Linked DNA regions of Caenorhabditis elegans. The protein of the gene in region 3 interacts with the protein of the main gene of each other region in a pairwise test. Each region holds a gene or a part of one and is shown on either strand. Other genes may lie near its edges.

What was found. The genes of interacting proteins can lie anywhere in the genome.
Region 1: the proteins of moe-3 (region 3) and C17H12.2 interact in a two-hybrid assay, tested with the Caenorhabditis elegans proteins (one large-scale study listed by BioGRID).
Region 2: the proteins of moe-3 (region 3) and nhr-88 interact in a two-hybrid assay, tested with the Caenorhabditis elegans proteins (one large-scale study listed by BioGRID).

What each region holds. Positions count from the first base shown.
Region 1 is NC_003282.8:6,785,418-6,793,833, forward strand, and holds C17H12.2 (Mab-21 domain-containing protein), read right to left. Parts: upstream 5,072-8,416; 5' UTR 4,983-5,071; intron 4,920-4,982; exon of another isoform or gene 4,698-4,919; intron 4,625-4,697; exon of another isoform or gene 4,475-4,624; intron 4,223-4,474; 5' UTR 4,205-4,222; coding exon 3,974-4,204; intron 3,930-3,973; coding exon 3,699-3,929; intron 3,653-3,698; coding exon 3,560-3,652; intron 3,506-3,559; coding exon 3,348-3,505; intron 3,298-3,347; coding exon 3,015-3,297; intron 2,973-3,014; coding exon 2,598-2,972; intron 2,399-2,597; coding exon 2,003-2,398; 3' UTR 1,372-2,002; downstream 1-1,371. Other genes in the region: vha-8 (V-type proton ATPase subunit E), read left to right, coding at 5,681-5,806, 5,904-6,032, 6,134-6,496, 6,547-6,609.
Region 2 is NC_003280.10:2,975,463-2,982,286, reverse strand, and holds the start of nhr-88 (Nuclear hormone receptor E75), read right to left. Parts: upstream 3,872-6,824; 5' UTR 3,863-3,871; coding exon 3,798-3,862; intron 3,383-3,797; coding exon 3,285-3,382; intron 3,019-3,284; exon of another isoform or gene 2,944-3,018; intron 2,899-2,943; exon of another isoform or gene 2,845-2,898; intron 2,713-2,844; coding exon 2,258-2,712; intron 1,532-2,257; coding exon of another isoform or gene 1,442-1,531; exon of another isoform or gene 1,357-1,441; intron 1-1,356.
Region 3 is NC_003280.10:13,159,025-13,168,846, forward strand, and holds moe-3 (CCCH-type zinc finger protein moe-3), read right to left. Parts: upstream 6,710-9,822; 5' UTR 6,632-6,709; coding exon 6,615-6,631; intron 5,198-6,614; coding exon 4,976-5,197; intron 4,434-4,975; coding exon 4,326-4,433; intron 4,001-4,325; coding exon 3,857-4,000; intron 3,589-3,856; coding exon 3,441-3,588; intron 3,159-3,440; coding exon 2,969-3,158; intron 2,899-2,968; coding exon 2,749-2,898; intron 1,771-2,748; coding exon 1,646-1,770; 3' UTR 1,391-1,645; downstream 1-1,390. Other genes in the region: F32A11.1 (Mitochondrial import inner membrane translocase subunit Tim21), read left to right, coding at 892-1,071. UniProt on the Caenorhabditis elegans protein: Zinc-finger protein that may play a role in oocyte maturation and fertility.

The DNA.
Region 1 (8,416 bases), on a different chromosome or scaffold from region 3:
GGAAAAGAGAAAAGGAGCTGTCGATCTTTGCTGGTAGGACGGACAGCGGCGGGAAACTACGAGAACAGAGGGAGCGGTAGGGCGCAGATTTGATGGAAATTTCAAATTAAAAAAATTGTTATCGTCGAATTAGAATTTCCTCTTGAGTAATTGTATTGATCCTACGTTGCATTTTAGATTCAAACTGAGAATTAGGAATCGTAACCAGTTTTATTTTTTGAATGAGAATATTATTCAATTTTATTCTCGTGAAATTGTGAGAATATTTCATGCTAAATTGTTTGCAAAAACATGAAATATTGAAAAACGAAAAAACATTGAAAAACGCTTGAAAATAGCAATTACACCCGTCTGTCTTCCTGTGCAACCAAGATTTTTTTGAAAAATTTACGGATCGCTCGAATAAAAAATTTTATAATGTCAGATTACGTTTTAGATCCAAAAAAAATTAGGCTGAATCCGTTTTTGATTCTCTAGAATTTTGTTTAGCCAAAAAACATCGCATTGTTCTCTCTGTCGTTATTAAAGTGCGCAATTAACAAATATTCAAAAATTCTTATTTAAAAAACCATAGGGGGTTCCCTAACTATTGCGAAATTCTCTTTCTCTCTCGGACATTACTATGAGAGATTGAACCAATTGAAGAGACGCAGTGCTAGGAAGGGAATGCGCCCTGGCGCCACATATGGTCTAAGTCTCTCTGAATCGTGTGCTCTCTACATTGGGTCGACTCTGCGAGTGCTTTTGAGCGGCGCCGAGACCGAAATAAGAGAGAAAACAGAGGGAAAAAAGATAGGGAACATTAATTGATGAAAAAAGAAACAGATGACGTGGCAATTCTTCTTTCCGGAGTTTTTTTTTATTGGAAGTGGGGTTATTCAAGTAATGTAGCAAAATGTATTTAAATACATTTGTGACGTCACAAATGTATTTAAATACATGTTTTTATATACTTGAATAAGGTTGTGACGTAATTTTTCTACACTTTTTAATTTTCCGACACTACTTGAATAACCCCAAAAGTGTACGGTTTCTTTTTTCAAAACACGATTGCAACCAAAGGCGCCGGATTTTTGAATTTTTCAAAAATCGGAAGATTTAAAATTTTCGCTTTTTTATTTTTATTACTTGATAAAAATTGAATTTTATGGTGAAATTTCAAAATTTGTTTTGGCTTTTCAGTTGTCCGGAAAATCGAAAATGTTTGTTTTTCGATTCCCACTGAAAAAATCGAATTTTTTCGATGAAACCTTTGATTGCAATGTTAGAAAAATTTCTAAAAAATTAACAAGAACACTGGAACAACACAAAATCACAATAATCAACACCGGACCATTGGTACCGTATAAAAAGAAAAAAAAATCGAATTAATTGTAATAGTTCTGAAAATCTTTCATAAATACCCATTTTGAATATAATTATTTCTTAATAAATATATAACTTACAGAGAAAAAAATTTCGGGGACGTTAAGGCTCATAGAAGAACACACGAAAATTAGGTAAGTTAAGGCTGAAGGCATTTGGCCTACTCTACACGTAGCAGGGAAATGATGTAAAATGGAAAAGAGAGAAAATATATAAAACATATGAATGTGCAAGGATTCGGTATATAAATTATATATGAAGGGTCCTTATTAAGGAATTTGTTTTCCTGTATGTACAATCTAGAAAAGAGCAGAAGGGTTATTGAAAGGGTGGAGTAGAGTCAAAATTGTTTTTTTACTTTAAATTACAGAAAATGGACACTAATGACGGAATATAACTATAAACATTTTTTCTAAATTTTGAAAAATGATTTTTTCAATTTTGCACCTCTCAAATTAAGAGCACTAAAGAAAATTACAGAAAAACCAGTAAAATTTGAGAATTTGAAACGGATATCTCCAAAAAGTAGTCGAAGTCTAAGAATCAAAAAAGAAATTAAAATTTTTTTTAGTTACGGTATATTTTCTGTCATTTAAAGCAGTTGACTCCACTCCACCTTTAAAACAATATAAATTATCTAATGAGGCCTAGCAGAATATCGGTTCCTCAAATACGGATTATAGGGTGTCATATCGCCTTTTCTCCATTCGCTCCAAACGATTTTGGCGACAACCAGATGAAAAGCGACGACGACAACAAAAACGAACACCCAGAATGTTGTCATTCCTCCAGTTGATTCTCCAGATCGATGCATTTCAATAACTTCTTCTTCGTGTGCCGGTGCTGCACCAACTTCCGACACGTGAATGGCATTTCTTAGGAGTTCAAGATGTCGTCGAGATGGAGCAATGTAGAGAAGAGATGTTACTGGTTTCGTGACTTTTACTGGTAATTGAACTGGAGTCTTTCCAAGTGAAACTGGGCTATCGAGGCATCCACCATCACAAACAAATAATTGACTAGAAGATGAAACCTGAAAGAAATAGTTTAGAGTATTTCCAGGATAAATATTTTTAAAATTTAAATAAAAGACGTGTTTCAGCTCTTTTGACAAGGATTTTTATTCATTTTTTGAGAAGTCTCACTATGAAATTCGGGGCCAGTTCAGTCTATTTAAGCAACAAGAAACCACAAACTATGCTACAGTTGTAAAACATTCTATAAACTATTACCATAAAATAAGGACGATTTTCCGTATCCAATTTTATATCCACTCGAATAGTACCAACAACACCCATATTCGAATAAACTGGAATTCCATGAAAATTCATTTCACGATGCAAATCATGAGCATCCAATGCTACTTCCAAATGAGAATCGTGATAACTCGATGCAGTCAACGATTGAACAAATGCTTGTGATGCTCCAATTGCTCCAGTGCTCAAAAGATTGTTGCAACCTCGTTTTTGGAAAGTGAGCATCCATGTATTCACGAGCTCAAAAAGTTTTGTCGGAGTATCCCAGTCTTGCCACAGACGTGATGGGAAGAGAAGATTTGAATGACCAGTGTAGCAGAGCTCGCTTTTCCGCGCCAAATTTTCCAGAGGCTATAAACATTCTATTTTAATTAGGTAATAATATTCAATTACCTTTACAGATTCCAAAGTAGCCCCATGCTCAATTGTTGGAGCCCGTAAATTGCTCATTAAAATGTATTTTGTTGCATTAATTCTATCTCCGTTTAATGTATTTGGTGCTTTCGAATTCGCAACACTGAATCCTGTTAAATGCATCTTGCTCCATCCGTCAAAATGCTCCGAATCCAAAGTTTTCGAGTCTTTTCCTGATTGGAAAAATCGGATAGCATCCCGAGAAGCTTCTTCACTTGTTGGCTTCGACGCAATCGAGCATGTAAACCGAAATGACTCTTCTCTGAAATAAACTGAACAAATTAATTAATTTTTTTAATGTTTTAAATATACCTTTTCTGTGAAACTGAAACTTTTCCAGGTGCATCAGTACAAACAACAGCATACGATGCTCTAGCAACTTGCCGCTGATGAACCGTCAGCTCGCCTAATTTTGAATGAGCCCACCAGTTGGAACTAAGACGAGACAAGTTGAGTCGGACCGTTGATTTCTGAAATTAAATGTTCTTTTTGTAATTTTAATGCATCAATTTCAATAAAATTACAGTTGGATTGGAAACTTGTATCAATTGAACAAAATAGTTTGGACGAGTTCGATGAGCCCATATCTGTGACGTCACACATGCACATTCGCCATCCTGAAACATTAATGTCCAATAAATAGTTTATTATGTCGTGGCTAACCATTGAAAAACATCGCAGAATTTTGAAAATGCCATTTTTGAAATCCGTCATTTTTGTAACCTCAACAGGTTGTTGTCCGTCAATTTCAATGTTGAGCCCGGGATAAAAATTGGTTTCCACATCGAGAACTCGGTTTTTCTCCTGAACTCGTAATTGTCCGAATGAATCAACACCAATATATCCATTTCCCACAAACTCTACGCTTTGATTGTTAATTCCTGTATCGAACTCCTAAAAAAAAGTAAATATGAATAATTACTAATTATTCGACTCACATCAATCTCTTTTTCCCATAATTTTAACTTTTCCGCTGAACATTGATGCTGTTTTGTGAATGATGTGCCGGAAGACGTTCCTCGCGAGAAGATGAAAATGACGAATAAAACAACTCCAATAATTATCGCTAATCTTCGTTTTGGATATCGTCGAACCATACGCATTTTACTTTCGAAATCCATATTTTCTATTCGACGCACGAAAGTGCGCCACGTTATTGCGGCGCTCATTTTGGAGGGGAAATCCGCCTGAAAAATCAATTGTTTGTATTGTGAAATTTCGAAGAGGCATAAAACAAGAAAACGGACATGAAAGCGCGTTGCATGCAAGGTTAGTTGCCTGTTTAAGCATTATCCCCGCATGTAGCTTGTTCGGCACCGTTAAAAATGCTGAGTAATCAGCTTTTTAGAATTTAAAATATTAAACTTTTAAAATTGCAACAAACATCGACAAATATTCAAGAGGCGAATGATATCGGGAATTTCGATTGAAACGAAACTGTTTTGAAATTCAAAAAGTATTTTCAAAGTATTGTCCGCAAGGCACATCACGCAAACTTGCAGAATCTACCGTATCCCATACATTTTTATAGTTTTTCCCTCAGTTTTTAAAATTAAAAACGCTGAAAAAGCGATTAAATTTATTTAAATGCATCGTTCGAATAAAATAAAGTTTATCTTTTGATAAAAACATGAGTTTCCTTTGGAGAAAAGTAGGGATTTCGCCTTTCAAAAAATTATTTCGTGCAGGATGCTATTTTCGTGGCGAAACCCATACTCAAGAGCTCATGCGTCTTCTTGATTACTGTAGATGTTTGGCAACTTATTTTTACATAAAAACGTTTTCATTCATTATTTCCATCATTCATTTATCTTTCTGTGTTTTTAGTTAGTTTTAGCTAGTTTTTTTCTAAATTCCTAACTTTAAAAAATCTGGAAAAGAAAATTAAAAAATTTTGTCCCTATTATTTATTTTATTACTGGAAAATCTTCAAACAGGAAAACCCACCGCGTTTTGCTTATTGCTGTATTTATGAAAAAAAAAACAATCAATATTGGTCAAGTAAATAAGAAAAAATTAACGAATCTCTATCTGACACCAGATGCGACCCTCTATTCCACTTCTCTGTTCATCTGCTGCTTCTTTTGTTTAACCAGATAAATCTCCCTCGGGGAAAACCGTCAAAAAAAGGCAAACTAAATGCAAACACGCTCTATAGACAAAATGTGTTTGGTCTCGTCACGAATGGTGAGAGAGAATTGGCCTCCGCCGCAGAGATCGCTTGATTATTGGCCTCCAGTGGGCAATGTCGGGGAAAACCAAACTATTGATGAGAGGTATCGACGAAAAATCAACAATGACCAACTTTTTGTTACAGTTTTGTTATAAATATGAGTTTTGGATATTCCATTGCGTATTTTTCTTTTCTACTTTCAAAAAATCTGCTCCAACCTTTAATGGCTTTTCCTGTCTTGTCAAAATCTGGATTTTTGAATATATAATTTTTAAAACCATCAAATTCAGCGAAATGAAATCATGTAATACAATTTTTTATTTTTTCCGACTGTTGTGTATTCCATCAAACTATTCAAAAAATCAATATAATGATTTTTTTTTCATTTTTCGCGATTTTTTATTATTTTGTCGTCTGAAAACCTTTTTACTAATAAAATAATTTACAGGGAAAACCACTAACGACTGTAGCCATGGGAATCAGCGACAACGACGTTCAGAAGCAGCTCCGCCACATGATGGCTTTCATTGAGCAAGAGGCCAATGAGAAGGCTGAGGAGATCGATGCTAAAGCCGAGGAAGAATTCAACATTGAGAAAGTAAGGAATTAAAACATTTACTCCTTTAAAACTATACTAAAATCTCTTCTAAAAAACGGAAAACCTTGAAATTATGAATTCATTCAAATTGTTTCAGGGACGTCTTGTTCAACAACAACGTCAAAAGATTATGGAATTCTTCGAGAAGAAGGAGAAACAAGTCGAGCTTCAACGCAAAATTCAAGCCTCCAACTCTCTCAACGCTGGACGTCTTCGTTGCTTGAAGGTGAGAGAAAACGTTTCTCAACATTTTCAAAAACATTAATCGCCTTAAAATTGAAAACCAGTTCTGAATCGGACACATTTGAATTAAAAACATATTTTCAGGCTCGTGAAGACCACATCGGAGCCGTACTCGACGAGGCTCGCTCGAATCTCTCCCGTATTTCCGGAGATGCTGCTCGTTATCCAGCTATTTTGAAGGGACTTGTCATGCAAGGACTTCTTCAATTGCTCGAAAAGGAAGTCGTCCTTCGTTGCCGTGAGAAGGATCTTCGTCTTGTTGAGCAACTTTTGCCAGAGTGCCTTGACGGACTTCAAAAGGAGTGGGGAAGCACCACCAAGGTCGTTCTCGATAAACAAAACTTCTTGCCATCGGAGTCTGCTGGAGGAGTTGAACTTTCTGCTCGTGCTGGAAAGATCAAGGTGTCGTCTACTCTTGAAAGCCGTTTAGAGCTTATTGCTAACCAGGTAATCAGAGTTGAAATTGTGAAAATTAAAAACATTTTAAAAATTTATAGATTGTCCCACAAGTCAGAACAGCTCTCTTCGGTCCAAATCCAAACCGTTCTTTCTTCGACTAAATATTCAACTCGTGCTCTTCCTCCAGTTGACACCTCCAACAACGTCGCTTGTCCCAAATTCCCTTCTTTCCGTCAAGTAGCTGAAATTATGTATATTCTTTCTATTTTCTGACCCCTTTAACAATTAATTTTACCTATTTCCCTAAAATTCCCCGTAATTTCATCGCCCAACTACATTCCATGATGTTATTCTCGTCGAATATTAATTTTGTGATAGCCCATTTCTAAATCCCTCGCCCAGTTTTTTTTCGAGAAAAAAATTCCAAAAAAGCAATACTACCACAACAAAATGAGTCACTGAAATTCTTTTCAAATGATTTTCAGATATATAAATTTCTATGAGCGATGATAGTTTTTCTTCAACCCTGCACTTGGTTTTCACTTACTAAATGTTTTACATGTAGAGCTGTGTTGTAGATAAAATATTTTTTTTTCTTTCGAGACTGAAGCAGGATTCGAATCAAAAAATTCGCCGATTGCAGAATTATCGAAAAAATTTCAAATCCGCAGAACATCACACTTCATCGGTTGCGAGATCTCGCGAGATAAATTATATGCCTTCACCATCCAAATAGATTGAAAACAATAAACTGATTATTCTGTACAAGATTTGATATATATATTTTTCAGGAACCCAGATTCTTGAAGAATTATTCATTTAAATTTTTTTTCTAATAAAAACACATGTTTGATGTTTTTATTTTGAAAATCGGTGATAACAGACAATTTCAAGTGTTTCTTAGTGGAAAACTGATATTTTATCTTATGAAAACTTTACTGATAGTGAGAAACTATAGGAATTGGTGACGGAAATCCGCGGAAATGAGAAATTGTCGCTGAAAGCAACGAGAAGTGGCAAAGTCTTGCAATATTGCGGTGGCTCTCGCTAGCACGCTTTTTGTCCGCCGCCACCGTGTGCTATGTGCCAAGACGCGGGGCAATAGTCAGTCAGTTCCTTCAGTGTGGGGAACTGACAGTGTTAAGGCTTCAGTGAGGATGAAAATCCTCGAAGTTCCTGATGTGGCCACATCATAACACAAATCGGGGGTCATTGTAGTCTGACTACGATCACTTCCGGGCTGTAGGTTTACCTCGGCGCCGAATAATTTTGGAAAACGCTCCCCGAGTAAGCGGCCACCAGGCGAAACTCGAGATGGTCCCAAGGGGTACCAGCTTTATGCGAAACTCCGGACTTCGGGGGGTCATCGTAGTCTGACTACGATCACTTCCGGGCTGTAGGTTTACCTCGGCGCCGAATAATTTTGGAAATCGCTCCACGAGTAAGCGGCCACCAGGCGAAACTCGTTAATTCGGGGGTCATCGGAAACGACCGCTCCCGCAGGTAGCAAAAGGTTCGCCACGGTGCCAACAGAAACCCAGGCCCCGCAACTCCACATGGGGAGTCCTGGGAGACGGAAATTTTGGAAATATCCCTTCGGGGATTTTAGTACGCAACTCTGTTGGCCGGCCAAATGGCCATAGGTTCTGAGAGGATTAAAATCCTCTGAAGTTCCTGATGTGGCCACGCCTAATGGGGTTATTCAAGTAATGTAGCAAAATGTATAAATACATTTGTGACGTCACAAATGTATTTAACCACGACCACTACCATAACCACGAATCGGAGATCATTGCAGTCTGACACGAGCACTTCCAGGTTCACCAGTGTATTAATTATGGGGTTATTCAAGTAGTGTCGGAAAATTAAAAGAAAAATTACGTCACAACTGTATTAAAATACATAAAAACATGTATTTTTATACATTTGTGACGTCACAAAAAACAAAAACAAAAACAAAAAATGTAT
Region 2 (6,824 bases), about 10 Mb from region 3:
GGATCTCCAGACTGGTTCTGATTCTTCCGATCTTTGATGTTCAAGTCTGTTTCAAGCTTCCTGGTGCTCTCGGTAATGCCAAAACTTGATAAACTCTCTTTAACAAGTTCCTACTAAAATTCCTAGCACACACACCATAAACATTTTTACGCCATCCCCAAGAAACCAGTCAGAAACAGCGTATTAACAAGTTGCAGTTATTTTTGATCAACAACAGAACATTCATATACTAAAATCAAGAAAGGATCAATAGTTAATCGGGTTTCCTTGTGTGCGGATGTTCTCAAACAGTCTGTCCTCCATTGATCTGACCAAACTTTTCAGCTGGTTGTCCGGAATAGACTTCCAAGCGTCGAGAATTCCTTGCTTCAACGATGCAACTGTTGGGTAAGTCTTGTTCTGAGCATACACGATACGGACAAGAATCCCCCACAAATTTTCGATTGGATTGAGATCAGGACTTCGAGCTGGCCAATCAAGAAGGTTGATCTTCTTGAGCTTGAAATAGTCGCGGGTTGAGTTGCTCACATGGATTGTCGCATTATCCTGCTGAAATCTAAAGTCTTTTCTGGAGTAGTGACGAAGATATTTGGAGAGCTCCAGTTCCAAGACGTTCTGATAGTCAGTGCTGTTCATCTTGCTACTGACGAACTGTATCTCAAGCTTCTTCTTCTCCGTGAACGCTCCCCAAACCATCACCGTTCCTCCTCCAAAATTACGTCTCGAAAAAACCATTGGTTCCTTGCGCAAATCGCGCCAATAGTAGCGGCAACCGTCAGGCCCATCGAGATTGAATTTCTTTTCATCGGAGAAGACAACCTAAAACAATGATCCTAATTATTCACTCTTGCTTTTTTAAATTCTCACTTTACTCCAATTCGTTCCCATATTGTTCTTAGCAAATTCCAATCGCTTGAGTTTATGGTCTGCAGAGAGTAACGGAGCAGGGCGAAGTTTCTGACGAACGATTACACCAGATCGTTTGATGACATTGAGGATGGTCCTTTTTGAAGCAGACAATTGAAGCTCATTGCGAATATCTCTTGCCGTCTTACAGGAGTTGGAGGCAGCACGAATCACATTTCGTTCGTCACGCACGGAGAGAGCTTTGCGACGAGGAGCTCTTTTAGATGTACCGTAGCTCACCGGATCCTTCAGATACACGCGAATACAGTGTCGAGAACGGGAAATTTTCCTACTCATTTCATGCAGGGACACATTGAGCAATTTCATAACATCCAGCTGAGCGCGTTCAGTGTCCGAAAGGGCAGATCCTCGAGGCATTGCAAGTTAGACTGCTTTCGAAGTAAGCTTTCCAGCCTCTATATGTGTGCCACAACACATGCCACAATTCCACATTTAATAATTCACGCAAAAAATAGTAAATAACATCTGTGAGGGACAATTTAACTTGAAATATTGGTCCCATGGAACCTTGTAATCAAAGAAAAACGATTTGATTCCTGATAAGCCTTCCATTGTTTCCTGCTGCATATTTTGCCAAATCAGCTTGACTACACAGTCGAAACATCTAAAGTGCGTGCTAGGAATTTTAGTAGGAACTTGTTAAAGAGAGTTTATCAAGTTTTGGCATTACCGAGAGCACCAGGAAGCTTGAAACAGACTTGAACATCAAAGATCGGAAGAATCAGAACCAGTCTGGAGATCCCACGAGAACATTTCGTATTAATTTTTTAAAGTCAAAACTGCTTATCTGAACTCATTTCTAACTCAAACTTGATTTGAGCTTTGTCAAAAATTCCAAAATCTGTTGATTTTAGTAAAAATCGTGAAAAAAAACGGGGGGTCCTATAGAAGTTTCACACTGGATTTTGACGTTTTTTCCAGCGCGACCTCAGTTTTTGAGATAAACTTCTGGAAAAAAATGTATATAGGTTTTTTTCAATTTAAAAACGAATGGCATTAGCAGTTTTTCAAAAAAATTTTCGGAAGTTCCTCAAACCTTCAAATTAGGGGGGGGTCCTATAGAACTTTCCCACACTGTATTTCAAATTTCTAGAAGCAGCCGACATTTGCCTGGTTTCTAGAAACAGCCGACATTCGCCGGGCTTCTAGAAGCAGCCGACATTTGCTTAGTTTCTAGAAGCAGCCGACATTTGCTTAGTTTCTAGAAGCAGCCGACATTTGCCGGGCTTCTAGAAGCAGCCGACATTTCCCTTGTTTCTAGAAACGGCCGACACATCACGGGTTACTGGAAGCTCCCTTCAAGTTTACCTAGGAGCAGCCGACAACTCACCGGAAAGCTCTCCTGATTTCTGACATATTGACTATGGAACAAAGTGGACACATCGAAATCCGGGTCATTCTTCATCATCATTGATATTCCAATAGGCATTGTGATATGATTATTCCCGCAAGTCGCCTGATCTTCAACATCCAATAAAAATGACAAAATAACATCTTCATTATTGGAAACTGGAGAATCGCAGCCATTCGGTGAGGGTAGGGATGCATCGATGCTTCCACTATTCGTGTCGGACTTCATCTTCTTCTTCCGTGGATTCTTCTGCTTGCCGATGACGTCACGATCCGGTCGAATGGCTTCTGGCTCCATGCCAACTGTCAGGCAACGCTGGAACCGGCAGTAACGGCATGCGTTGCGTTGATCCTTGTCGATGGCGCATTTTTGGGTGAATCGGCAGGTGTAGGTCTGTTGGGATCGGATTGTTCGGCGGAAGAAGCCCTTACAACCTGAAATTTTAGAAATTTGAGCGATATCTCAAAAATTGAATCTTGAAAAAGTTGTGTAAACTATTGAAATATTCCAGTCGAAAACATGAATAAGTCATAAATTGCATGATTTTTGATAGCTCAAAGTTTAAGCTCAGGCTTAGGCTTAGGCTTAAGCCTAAGCTTAGGCTCAGGCGTAGGCTTAGGATTTGGCTCAAAGCTAGGATTAGGCTTAGGCTTAGGCTTAGTCTTATGCTTAGGCTTAGGCTTAGGCTTAGGCTCAGGCCTAGGTTTAAGCTTAGGCTTCGGCTTAGGATTAGGCCTAGGGTCATAAACTCAAGACCTTAGGCTTAGGCTTAGGCTCAAAGCTAGGATCAAGCTTAGGCTTAGGCTTAGTCTTATGCTTAGGCTTAGGCTTAGGCTTAGGCTCAGGCCTAGGATTAAGCTTAGGCTTATGCTTAGGTTTAGGCTTAGGGCCATAAACTTCAGACCATAGGGTTAGGCTTAGGCTTAGGATTAGGCTTGGGCTTGGGCTTTGGCTTAGCACCTTAGGCTTAGGCTTAGGCCTAAATTGGAAAAAAAGAAAAACTCACCATAACAAGCCATTACTCCATAGTGTTTTCCAGCCGACCTGTCTCCACACACCATACACTGCCCATCACCATTATCCATTCCTGGCATGACCTGTTGACTGAAATTTTTTTAAAGTTTTTGGGGGTTTTGTATCTCAATTGTAATCTGTGAGTACTGTAGCTAGGTACCATACGGGTACTGTAGTTGGATTAGGGGTACTGTAACTTGACACCATATGGATACTGTAACTCTACTTAGTTCCTTTATGATTACTGTAGCTAGGAACCATTTGTGTACTGTAGCTATGAACTATATGGGTGCTGTACATCAGCCCATATGGTTACTGTAACTACTGTTGCTATGTACAACATGTGTATTGTAGCTATGATCTATTTGGGTACTGTAGCTAGACCCCATAGGGGTACCAAAACTAGACTATAGGTACTGTAGTTAGGTACCATATGGGCACTGTAGTTGATTCAGGGGTACTGTAGGTGATAGACTATGAATACCGTAGGGTACTGTACACTCACCCATCATCCTCGTCTGTTCCAGAACCATGATGTCCATAGGTATAAACCGTCGAAGGAGCAAACATATAGAGATGCTGCAAAAAAAAGAAGATGAGATTTTATATTATATTTTTAGTCGGAGCAATAAGTAAAAAATGAGAAAATAAAAATCTTTGATGCTTTGAAAGGAAGGGAGAAGCGTGACGGATATGAGGGGGAGGGGATAGAAAAAAGAGCAAAATGAGCAGAATATTTTTGAGTAAAACTTGAGAAAAAAAGAGGGAAAACAGCTCTAAAGCCTAAGCCTAAGCCTAAGTCTAAGTCTAAGCTCAAGAATAAGCCTAAGCCTGAGCTTAACCCTAAGCCTAAGCCTCAGCCAAAGCCGATTACTAAACTTTGGTCTATGCCTAAGCCTAAACCTAAGCCTAAGGCTAAATATAAACCTAAGCCTAAGCCTAAGCCTAAGCCTAACCCTAAGCCTGAAACTAGGCCTAGGCCTAAGACAACCACGCAAAGAAAACCAACCGGACAAAACTGAAAAGTAAGTGTCCAATTTTGGCCTGACCCCCAATTTCTCAACAAAATTTCCCGCCAAATCAATTTTTAGGAACCAGTTTTCTCTTTTAAGATGATGTTTTCTGTTTCTTTTCGTTTTTTTTTTTGAGAGAGAGTAACCGGGGAAAGTTTTAGGGGGCAGAAAGGGAGAAAGATTGGAAAAGAAAATTGGGGAAATTTCGTTCGACCGGTTTTCTGAATTTTCTGGTAGAAGTTGGATGGGGGAATTTTGTGGGAATTTTTCGGGGGAAATTGAAAATTTTCAGATATTTTAGAGTAATTTTGAAAATTGTCGGACTGTAGGAATTTTTCCGAATTTTTAGAGCTTTTTCCAAAAAAATTTTCAGACTTTTTTTTGAAATTTTTTAAATGGAAATTGACACCAAAAATTGCTCTTCGGCTAAAGACACTTAGATATCCTAATTTTTAAAGGTACATAAACTATCACTTTTAAAATTGCGGAAAAAAAAGTTTTTTTTCGAAAAAAAACAACTATCTGAACAAACAAAAAGTTCTAGATTTTCCGTCGATCTCAAATTACCAACGTTTTTTTTCTTTTTTTCTCGTCATGAATTCTCAAACTAGAAACAACTTTGTTCTGTTTTGAAAAAAATTAGAAAATTGGTAATTTTTAATCTCAAAAATTTGAAAAAAAAATCGGGAAAAATTAAAAAATAATTTTTTAAATAGATTTTTACAGGAAATGTATGGTTTTTTTTGAAAATTATAGATATTTTAGAAACATATAAAGTTTAAAGAGAAATCAAAAAAAACCTCCCAAAAATTAGGAAAGTTTTTGAAAAAAAAACAATTTTTGGCAATTTTTTTTCAAAAAATCGAACAATTCCAAAACTTCCCCAAAATCAAAATTTTCCAAATTTTCCAAATTCCATACTAAAATCATGCTCAGGGATCCATAAAATGTTGCATTTTCTTTTCCTGTCTCCCCCAAAAAAATGTGGAGGTGAGCTCTCTTTTTCTCCGGAGAGCCAGCGGAGAGGAAATTTTTTTCTCTCCATTTTTTTCTAGCGTCTCGTGCGTGTTTGTGTGTATGTATGTGTATGTTTAGAACGGAAACATGCATTACATTTCGAAACCTTCTCCCTTTTAGTGCTCGAGCCCCCAGAAGCTGAGAAGGGGGGCAAAAAGGTGGAAAGAATTTGTGGAGAAAAGGAGAAAAAGGAGAAAAATGTGAAGGGAAAAAAAGAAGAAAAAAACGGAGAAAAGTAACAAACTTGTGTGGTGGTGGTGGCAGAAAATGAGGGCGACACGACGAGGACAGCGTGGCGTGTGGAGGGAGAAAAGTGGGCGGAGCCTCTGGAAGGTTAAGCTCATTTTGTAGAGAAAATTACAATGAGAAGATGACCTAATTTTTAAGAAAATCTGATAAAAAATGAAAGTTCCAAGTTTGAGAAAAAAAATTTCGAAAATTCGGAAGAAAAATAATAAATTTTTTAAAACCAATTTTCTTGGTTTTTTTTGTCTCATTTTGTAAAATTTTTCCAAAATAACGTTTAATCATTAAAAAAATATTCTAAAAATTTGATGTAAAAGTTTTCAAAATGAACCGACCCTGTGCGGTGTCAATCTTGTAAATTTTTTTGGAATAAAACAGGAAAGCTTCCAGGATTTCTAGTGAACAAAAATTATGCAAAAAATATTTTTAAAAATTAAGTTTTTGAGCTTTTTTTAATTTTTTGAAAAACTTTTTTTCTTAATTTTTAATTTGTTTTCCATATTCTTTTTTTTTTTAATTCCACAAAAAAATTTCCCAGTTTCTGAGTACCCGTGTACCTACTTTGACATCAAAATAGCTAAAAAAAACAACTAACTAAAAATGAATTTACTAAAAGTAGTATGACGCGAAGAAGTTGAAATGTTCATGTTTCCCCCCAACTTTTATCCTTTGCCAAATGACGCGAAAACAGGTATTTTAGTTGTTTTACAGGGTCATTTTATACGGTCACGTGTCGGCAAAAAAAGAAAAAAGTTAACTGATATATTCGTCAAAATACTTTTGTTTTTCTTGAAAATTAAAATTTTTTCTGTTGAAAAAATTTCAATTTGAAACTTTCAACAAAAAAAAATATTAGTATTGCCAAAACGAAACAGAAAGTTCGCAACCGTTTTTATGGCAATTTTGTGTTTGTTTGAATCGATTTTGGTAACAAAAAATTGATAAAAACGCAGGTGATGAGATAAGCTTATCAGTTGGGAAGACACTATGTGGAAAATTAGAAGGAGTGATGACGTCATAGGAGTTGAGAATTGTTTTTGTATGTTGAAAATAAATATGAATTGCAATTTTTGATAATTTTGTCAGTTTACAACTTTTCGATAGCTCTAACTGTTCGGGATATACGGTTGACCTTTTTTCTAGGGTGCGCCAACTTTAAAGCTTGATATCTCCGCAACGGCAAGAGTTACCAAAAAATTTTAAATTAAAAAAATGTATAAAATTTAATTTTAAATAATTTGTCAGTTGATAACTTT
Region 3 (9,822 bases):
AATTAATTAATTCTCCTGTTTTAATCACATTGTTGTTTTCTTCAAAAGAAAAACTGAAAAATTACTTTTAAAAAATGAAAAAATGAGCTTGAAAAATCGTTCTCGTGTGCTGTATTCTTAGTTTTGACGAATTCTAAAAAAATATATTATCACCCAGACTTAAAATTTAATTCAAAATTTTAATTTTTGAGTCAGACACACTGTACCCGGTTTCGTAACGACAAATTCTTTTCAAATGCGAAAAGGCGAGCGCCTTTAAAGGTTACTGTAGTTTGAAACTCTTATTAGTCAAGCTTGAAATATAGTTTTTCTATTAAAAAAAATTATATATTTATTTAAAAGCTCAAATATAACAATAAAAACACAATAGATTTTGACAAAAATGATAAAAATCAAAAATCGAAGTTTTCCTCACGATTTGTTAAGATTTATTGTGTTCTTACCGTTATATTTGAGCTTTTAAATAAAAAAAATGAATATATTTTTTTAACAAAAAAAACTATAAAAAATCAACAAAAACTCAAAAATTGTTTTTTTTTTCAAAATTCTTGTTGATGCGGTTTTTTCATTGTTTTTCAAAAATTATTTTTAATTAAAAAACTCAAATATAACAAGAAAAAACATTAGGAGTTGACAAATCGTGGAAAAAACTATAAAAAGTCGATAAAAATTCTGCAACATTGAAATATTGAAACTACAGTACACTTTGAAGCGGCACACCTTTCCTCCGCGCTTCAAGAAAATATTTCGTGTCGAGACCGGATACCGTAATATTTTGCGCAGAAATAGCAGAATTTATAGCCCTAAATAATACTATTTCTTCAAAACCTTAAATTCGCACAAATTTCTGGATAAATTTTTGAATTCAAAAACAAAACAGTTTTTATTCAGGTTCTGCTCTACAACGTGACAAAAGACGTGATTCTCTACGGAGTGAAGTTGACTCAACAGACCTATTACGTAGTCTTGGCGATTGCTGCTCACATGCAAAATGGCTATCGACGATTCGCGTCAGGAGTGGACCGGCTCACGGACAAGTACAACAAGGTCCGCCAACGGATCGGAAAGTGAGCAGCTGTGCGGAGCATCTCGATCGAAAATACTCACTTATTCCTTCAAATTTTTTTTTTGCAAAAAGTCCCCGTTCAATTGTACATTTGCCTGTTTCAGAATTGTTCACACGACTTTCTAGATGCCTTTTCTTTTTGATTTTCGTAGTCAGTATGCATCAATTTCGTTTTTCCCGTCTCTTTTTTGCTCCATATTCCGGTTTTATTCCGTTTCTCCCTCCCAAAAAAAAAGAAAAGAACCAACCTCATCCAAAATTTTTAGAGAAAGAAGCTTAGGATTTTGCGCTTTTTGCAACGTGTATTATCCCTTGTGTGAAATAAAATTAAAACTTTATTTAGGGGGAGCAATAAAAATAATTAATATTAGGAGATAAAAAATTTTCAAAAAAAGAAGCGAAAAAAATATTAGTGAGATGTGTATCAGGTGGTCCCATTTTTATTATAAATTTAAAAATCTTTAAAAAAAAGGATTTAGGACCACTTGCTACTCAAATATTATTAGTAACTAATCGTTGAACAATACTCACAGACAAGGAAGACAAACAAATTTCAAATTAAAAAAAAACTGAAAAATGTCACCACAATTCAAGATGTTTAGCCATATCCTCTGCAAGATGGTCGAATCCTGGAATTGATGACATATTATCATCGTCTTGTTGGAAATTGGAAGGCACTGGAGGAAAGGCTGCTCTCCGTTTTGCTGAAAATTCGGAATTTTTTAATTTTAAATTGAAATTTGTGTTTTTTCCACGAAAAAAAAAACCATTATTGATCTTTCAAATTTGCGAGTGAAATATGACGCTTTGTGTCGGTGTTTGCACAGTATTCGGATTCTGTGGTTCACTGCACCTAGTACCTCGTATTTGACGCGCAAGTTTGAGAAATTCAAGCTCACAAGTTTTTTCAAGAAAAATTACAAATTTCACACAAAAATGGGGGAATAATTTATTACGGGAACACAGAATTCGGAGAATGCGTATTGCACAACATATTTGACGCGCAAAATATCTCGCAGCGAAAACTACAGTAATCCTTTAAATGACTACTGTAGCGCTCGATTTTCGAAATGAATTTCTTTTCAAAAATCTAGAGCCCTGCACAGCCTCCTGGAAATGACCCAACAAGGGGGCTTGCGCGTTTCTCGTGAGCGTGGGAAAATTTTACCGTTGAAAAGTGATTTCCTTCAGTTTTCACGGGTTTAAAATCGATTTCAAACTTTTTAATTACGTATCAATTGTAAAGCTAATTAAGGGCAAGGTGGAAAAAAAAAGATTTTTGATTTTGGTTCAAAAATAAAAGCGCTGATATAAAAAGAAAAAACCGCTAAAAATTGAGTTTTTCTCATATTTCGTATATTTTTCATCATTTTTCTAGTGGAATTTGATGTTCATTTGAAAAGTAATCTTCCACCAAAGCTTATGTTATGAAAAATATGAAGAAAAACAGTAAATTGAACGTTTTCGGAAATTTCTCAATTTTGCACGCGATGCACGAGAAGTGCGCCAACAAACCAAAATTTCCACTGGAGGAGACTGTGCCCTGTAAATCGACACAAGCGCTGCAGTAGTCATTTAGAGAATTACTGTAGTTTTCGCTACGAGATACTTTGCGCGTCAAATATGTTGCGCAATACGCATTCTCAGAATTTTGTGTTCCCGTAATATCCCATAAATCTAACCTGTCACAAAATGTGGTTGAATTCCCGTGGAGCCGTTGGGAAATGGCGTCTCAAATGGGCTCATCAAATTATTATTATTGATTGAAGACATTTCGGGTGGCAAGAAAAAGGACGAAGATTCCAACGGCCAGCTAGGGTGAGGACGCGTGGCTGAAAAAAAAATTTCAAGGAATTTATTGAAACTTGTTTTTTTTCTAAAAAATTATTTTAAAAAACTCACTTTCACAATTCATCTGAGCCATTGGAGAACGCATATGACTGGAGTCAGAACTCGATTTCATCGGTGAAGATTGCATTTCTAGACCGCCCATCGGTGGCGGCTGTTGATTATACGAGTTTCTCGTATTTCCTGTCATAATCTGTGATTCCACGTGATCCCGTAAATCTGCGAGTGCGTGGCGCTGCGAGACCTGAAAATTGGAGTTTTTGAATAATTACAGGAATTTGCGATTTTTGCGGCATAGGTACGGTACTTGGTCTCGACGCGAAATATTTTTGTTGGTGAAGCAAATATACAATAAGGTGTGCGCCTTTAAAGAATAGTGTAGTTTCAAAATCTAGTAAAAATTGTCGTGTCGAGACCGGGTACCGCAATTTTGGGCAAAAAATCCAAAATTTCTAGTCTAGATAATACATTTTAGTTTCAAAAGATAGCCGACTTGAATTTTCTAGGCCACCTCTCCATCACTAACCTCATAAAGCTTATCAGCTCTGATATATGCATTTGGCTGATTATCGGGATGAATAAAAAGACACCGTTTGCCATAGGGGCATAGTCCAGTGGTAGTGTACTTGTCACAAAGTTTCGTCTTGTACTTGTTGTTTTGTCGTGATTCCAGTCTGAAAATATTCAGGGTTTTTGCGCGTCAAATTTCAGGCAAAGCGGCAAATTGCAGGAGTTGAAATTTCCGGCAAATCGGTAAACTGCCGGAATTGAAATTTCCGGCAAATCGGCAAATTGCCGGAATAGAAATTCCGGCAAATCGATAAAATTCCGGAATTGAATTTTTCCGAAAATCGGCAAATTGCCGGAATTGAAATTTCCGGCAAATCGGCAAATTGTCCACCCCTGCGCCAAAAGTTATGCGCAAAAATTTTGAAAACTCACTTCGCCGGGCGCAGCTCTTCCTCTCCATGTGCAAATCGGCAATTTTCAGCAAAAGTGCATGTTTTCGACTCGAGCCATGCCTGACAAATGACCGTCTTGTAAGATTCGGGCTTTTGCATCCGCCGTTCGCCGCGAGGGGGGCGTCTGGAAAATGTAATTATTAGGAGAAACTCTAAAAATGGTTTTTTTTTGTGGAAATTTTCCACTACTTTGACACCTTACATCTTAGTTATTTTAAGCGCTATGAAAGCATTTTCAACTACAAAAATATTTATCACATTATCAGCTACATTAGTGCAGTTAAAAACTTTTTGATATCACAAAAAATAGTTTAGATACATGCGTTGAAACTTGGTACGTTATCTTTGAATTTTTTCAATGGTTTTTGATTTGGTTTTTTCACATTTTTTCCAAATCAAAAAGATTTTGAATTTCTTTTGGTTTAACAATTTGAATAATTAAAACTCACTGTGGAAACCCGTGATGTGGTGATATCGAATTCGCTACAAATGGCTGATCGACTGGATTTGAGGAGTATCTGAGTGCTCGCATCTGGTTCGTCTGGATTTGCTTGTTTCTGAAAAACAGTGTTTGGTGTTTAGGTTTCAAACATAGCTTCTTGCCCAAATTTGGCACAAAAAAGTTAACTTGGGCAACAGTTGGGCAAGACATTTAGGCCCAAAGTTTAACCGAAATTTGGCCCAATTCTGCTTTCGGCAATTTCGGCAACTGCCAAATTTGCCGATTGCAGAAAACTCCCGAAACCGGCAATCGTCAGAATTGCCGGTTTTCGGAAATCAGAACTGCCGGACCTTAAACATGCACTTTAATGAACTTTTTTTTTTTCAAGCTCAAAGTAATGTAATTTTTGAACCGGCTATTGTCAAAATTGCCAATTGCCGAAAATATCCAAAACCTGCAGTTTCCGATTGCCGAGAATTTCTAAAACTGGCAAATGCAGAAATTGCCAATATTGCCGATAATTTCTAAAACCGGCAATTGCACAGAATTGCCAAATGCCGAAAATTTCCAAAACCGGCAATTGCCGAAATTCCAAGTTAATTTTTTCGGGCAAAACTTGCGCAAGAAACTGGAGCCAAGCAACAAAATAAAACTAACTCTGCAATTTCCTTTCTCAATTGCTCATTCACCGCAATCAGGTTAGCAGTTTCAAAAAGCAACGAGTTCAACTGAGTAGTAGGACTCGGTGGCCCACTCTGCGATGATGATCCTTGACTATGACTAGGTGATGAAGCATGAACTCCCGATGAGAATACACCACTGTCAGCTGAACCAGTTGACATGGACGATGGTGGACGCTTGTCAGACTTTTCGAGATCTCTGGAAAATAAATAAGTTGTGGGTATGAAATAATCCAAAAAAGTTGGGATGGGGAGGGGAGGAAGTATCATTATTGCCAGTTTTTGGCGTTGTCACTGTTCTGTCCACTATATCTCGGCTGATAAAACCGTTCGAGTGATAACGAACAGGATATTTATTTATCTCTTCTGTTCACAAATAGTGCACTTAATCTCACTAGTTAGACTTATCAAGCTTTTTCAAAATTACAGCTTTAGCTGTAAAAAATGTGACACGTAAAATATAGTGCATCAATAATTTCAATTAAACCTTTTAACAAATTGCACAAAAACTGATTTAATATCAATTATGAAAATTTTATTTAAAATTTTGCTTTGACTTTTAAAATTAAAAATTTCTAAAAATTGCACATTTTCAAATTGCTCCAGCTTACACTTTTGAAGGGAATTTTTTGTGGTAATAAAATTATTAATTAGATATACATATTCTTGACAAGAATATATAGCCATGTCACAATGGAACACCAACTGAATAAGTTATGAACTTTTTTAAAACTTTTTTTTAATAAATGGAGGTTTCAACTAAACTTTTAAGGAAGCTTTAATATATATTTTAAAGTGTTTTCAGCAAGGATAATATTCAGAACAAATATTTTTGAAAGCTTTACGCGTTTGGAATTAAACAAAAAAAAACAAAGTCAAATTTTCTGTGTAGGCACAAAATCATACACTTTTTAATCAAGTTTTTAAGCATTTTTTTAGAACTTCAGATTTTCTGTCCCTATGCACTATGCATATAGGCATGTAGGCACAAAAAACCTACGTGCCTACTTCCCTACCTATTAACTAGACAAATTCTTCATCTATTTCTTATGTTTTCATATTTCTTTAATAATTAGTCGATATATATGTACAGAGGCGGCCAATTGCCGTTCGGCAATTTTTTTGTCGGCACATTTTTTTTGACGGAGATTTTCAATTCCGGTAATTTGCCGGTTTGTCGCTTGCCGGATATCAGATTTGCCGAAAATGTTTAAAGGGATTTTTTTATAAGACGAAAACACTTAAAACCTTGATTTTTTGATGCGTGCAATTTTGTCTATTAAAATTGAAATTCCGAAATTTCCAACAAAAAAACCGTGCAAAACCACAATTTGCCGGAAATTTTCGACAATTGCCGATTTGCCGGAATTTTTCATTTCCGGCAGAAATGTTTATTATTTCCGCGATTTTCTTTAGATATTTTCATAGAATTTGCTTACTTTTTAAAATAGTCGTAGTATTTTGCCGATTAAAATTTAAATTCTAAAATTTCCAAAAAGCTTTCAAAGCCGTTTTTCCGGCAAATTCGGCAAATTCAGCAATTCGCCGGTTTGCCGATTTGCCGGAAATTTGTATTTTAGCCTCGAAAATTCTAAAAGTATCGTCAAAAATCTCACCCTTTCACCTTGCTCATCGTGCGCCTTCCCTGACTTGATTAAATATGTAAAAAATCTGAAAAACGGGATGAATGTGTCGCGGTCAGCCAATACCCCTGAAAACTGTGAAATTCGTGAAAAACACGGCGGGCACAAAAATTTCAGGGTCAGTTGCGGATAAACGAGAATGAGAGAACAGTGAAAATGAGAGAAGATTAAACATAACTATGACACACAAAATATTTGATATTTGAAGAGGTTATGTACTTAGAGGGGAAGTTGAAATGAACTGAAATTTGAAAGTAAAAAACACGGTCTGAAAATAAGGCGAGAGATCGAGAGACGCAGAGAAGCGAAGAACCGGTCTCGAGAAATGACAATTCATGTGATGGTGATAAGAACAAAAAAGAATTGTGAGCAGTCTATTACACAAGATACGAGGGGTTCGACATGGACTTAACAGCTGATTTTTATTCATGTGTCCGCTAGTTCGGAGGGGGCATGTGATTGCGATCAGTTGATTGGAGATCATTGGATCAGGGGGTATATCAGTTAAAAGTAATAGAACAGGGAGAAACATGATTTTAAAATCCAGTATTTTCAAAATTCTGCGATGCTCCCTACAAAAACCCCAGTTGAAAGAACTTTAAGATGTTTAGGAGCCCTATAAAATATAAAATTACCCAGTTGCGGAGTTTTCTGCTTTTTGACACAAAAATAAATGCGATAGAATCAGGGCTGGGCGGCAATTGCGGTTCGGCAAATTGATTTGTCGACAAATTCGACAAATCGGCAAATTGCCGGTTTGCCGATTTACCGGAAATTTTCATTTTCGGCAAATTGCCGATTTGCCGTTTGCCGGATATCAGATTTGCCGGAAATGTCTAGAGGGATTATTTACAGGACGTAAACACTTAAAACTGTGCCATTTTGAATTTTTCCCGTTTTTTCTAGTTATTTTAACAGAATTTGCTTACTTATTGAAATAAATGTAGGAATATTCATAGGATGTGCTTAATTCGGCTGTCTGAAATTGAAGTTCTGAAATTTCCAAAAAAAAAAGGGCAAAAAATTTTTGGCAAATTCTGCAAATCGTCAATTTGCCGGTTTGCCGGAAATTTCCAATTTCGGCAATTTGCCGGTTTGCCGATTTGCCGGATCGTTTGCTGCCCACCCCTGGTACGGATTACGAAACAACTTGAAATTTGCAGTTACCGCACCTACAAGTGATTCGAAATTGTCTTGCCTGTTTTTGACACTATTTAAAACTCAGAAGCTTCAATTTTTTGGAAAATTTTGCAAACACATAAAATATCGAATAATTGTTCAAAATACATATCAGAATACTTGCGGGTACTGTGGCTGTGGTCGTGTAAAATATGCATTGTCTCTACAAAAATTTTTTGATGTTTTTGTGTCCAAAAATTCTAAAAAATGAGCTAGCGTGGCATTTTCTCCCAATATTTGTCATTAAAATTGAAAAAAAAATACATATAACTATATTTGCTTTGTCAGACATTAACTTGTATTTTAAATATTTAAAACAACTGAATCCAGATTGAAAACATGCACCAAAATTGTCGGTAAGTTGAAAATTGTCGGAATAAAATTCGACGAACATTTTTGAGAATTTTCAGTTTCTCCAAATCAAGTGAAAACTATATTTTTGCCTACCTCAAACCTACGCCTTATAAGACACAAGTTTTGAAGGTTTTGATCCAAACTAAAAACTATGGATCAGCTGTTCCTGAGCTCAAATTTGAAGCTAGAGCCTAAAAAGACACAATTGATTTGCAATGTAGGAACGCTTGGCACAAATTTAAATATTAGATGAAGCTCAGAAAAATGTGATTCTAAATTGTTAAGGGAAAATGAAGAAGCCAAACTGGAAGATTAGGCAATCGAAGGGGAAATGATTGAGAGAAAACTTGGAAGGGCGGGTAAGAACGGGCAGTTTGGAACTGCTTTTCTATTCCGATTGCGTAACAAATGGAACAGAAAAAGACAGAGAAAGAAAGAGAGAGAGGTAACATGTTTGCTGAGTGACCGAAAACGAAAGGATTCAGAGATGAAGACGCTAGCGAAAGGTGTGAGTGTAACATGCGTTTCCATTTCTTTCAGAAATCCACTGTAATGAGTGAAAAGATGGTGATGCGCAAAAGTGAGTATTAGAGGGGCAAGCGAAAAGATATACACACACACACGCATTATAAAAAGTGAAAAATTAAAGCAAAAAGGGCAAAAAAGGAGGCCCGTGTGGAACCGGACTAAATGAAAAGGTTTTGCCGAAAGAAGAAGAAGCAATGCCAGACTATTGCATCAATGCGATTAGGATCAATTGGCAATACAACAAACACGAAACGGCATCGACTTGCCCCTCTCTGGATCAAGATGGAGAAGATGCGAATGAAAAAAAAGAGAAGTGATGGCATGAATATGTAACGCTTTTTTTAAATTGGTTCAAAAAATTGTCCGTTTTTGGAACTTGGAAGGGAGTGCTGGCATGGCAGATTTTCAGCTTTCGATTTATTTTTTTTTTAATTTCTCAGTCGGCATGATTTCTAGTGAGTTCCAGAAAATTCGGGTAGCAACAAAAAAATTTATTTAAAAGTTTTTTGACCAAGTATAACATTTTTTATCAAATTTTGTTGTTTTTTTCCGCCAATATACATATGATGCATTCAACGGGTGTGCGGCAAATTGGGAAAATTTGCCAAACTCAGCAAACGGCAAATTTTGCAAATTTGGCGAAATTGCTATTCGTCATACTCGGTAAATCGCAATATTTTTTTTGAGCTCAAAAAGTGCCAAAGTTCGGAAAAACTAAGCAAACGATTTTTTCGGGCATATTGCCGATGTGACATTTCCGGCAGATAAGCAAATTGCCGGAATTCAAAATTTCTGGCAAATCGGCAAACAGGCGAATTGCTGGATTTAACGATTTCTGGCAAATCGGCAAACCGGCGAGTTGCGAAAAATGATCGGCAAATTGTAGTTTTGCACTTTTTTAATTCAAAATTTCAATTGGCAAAATTGTACGCATCCTATGGATGTTCGTACATCTATTTTGAAAAATAAACAAAATCCATGAAAATATTTAAAGAAAACGGGAAAAAATTTTCAAAAAAGCACAGTTTTAAGTGTTTCCGTCTCATAGAAAAATCCCTCTAAACATTTCCGGAAAATCTGATATCTGGCAAAAGGCAAACCGGCAACTTGCCGGAATTGA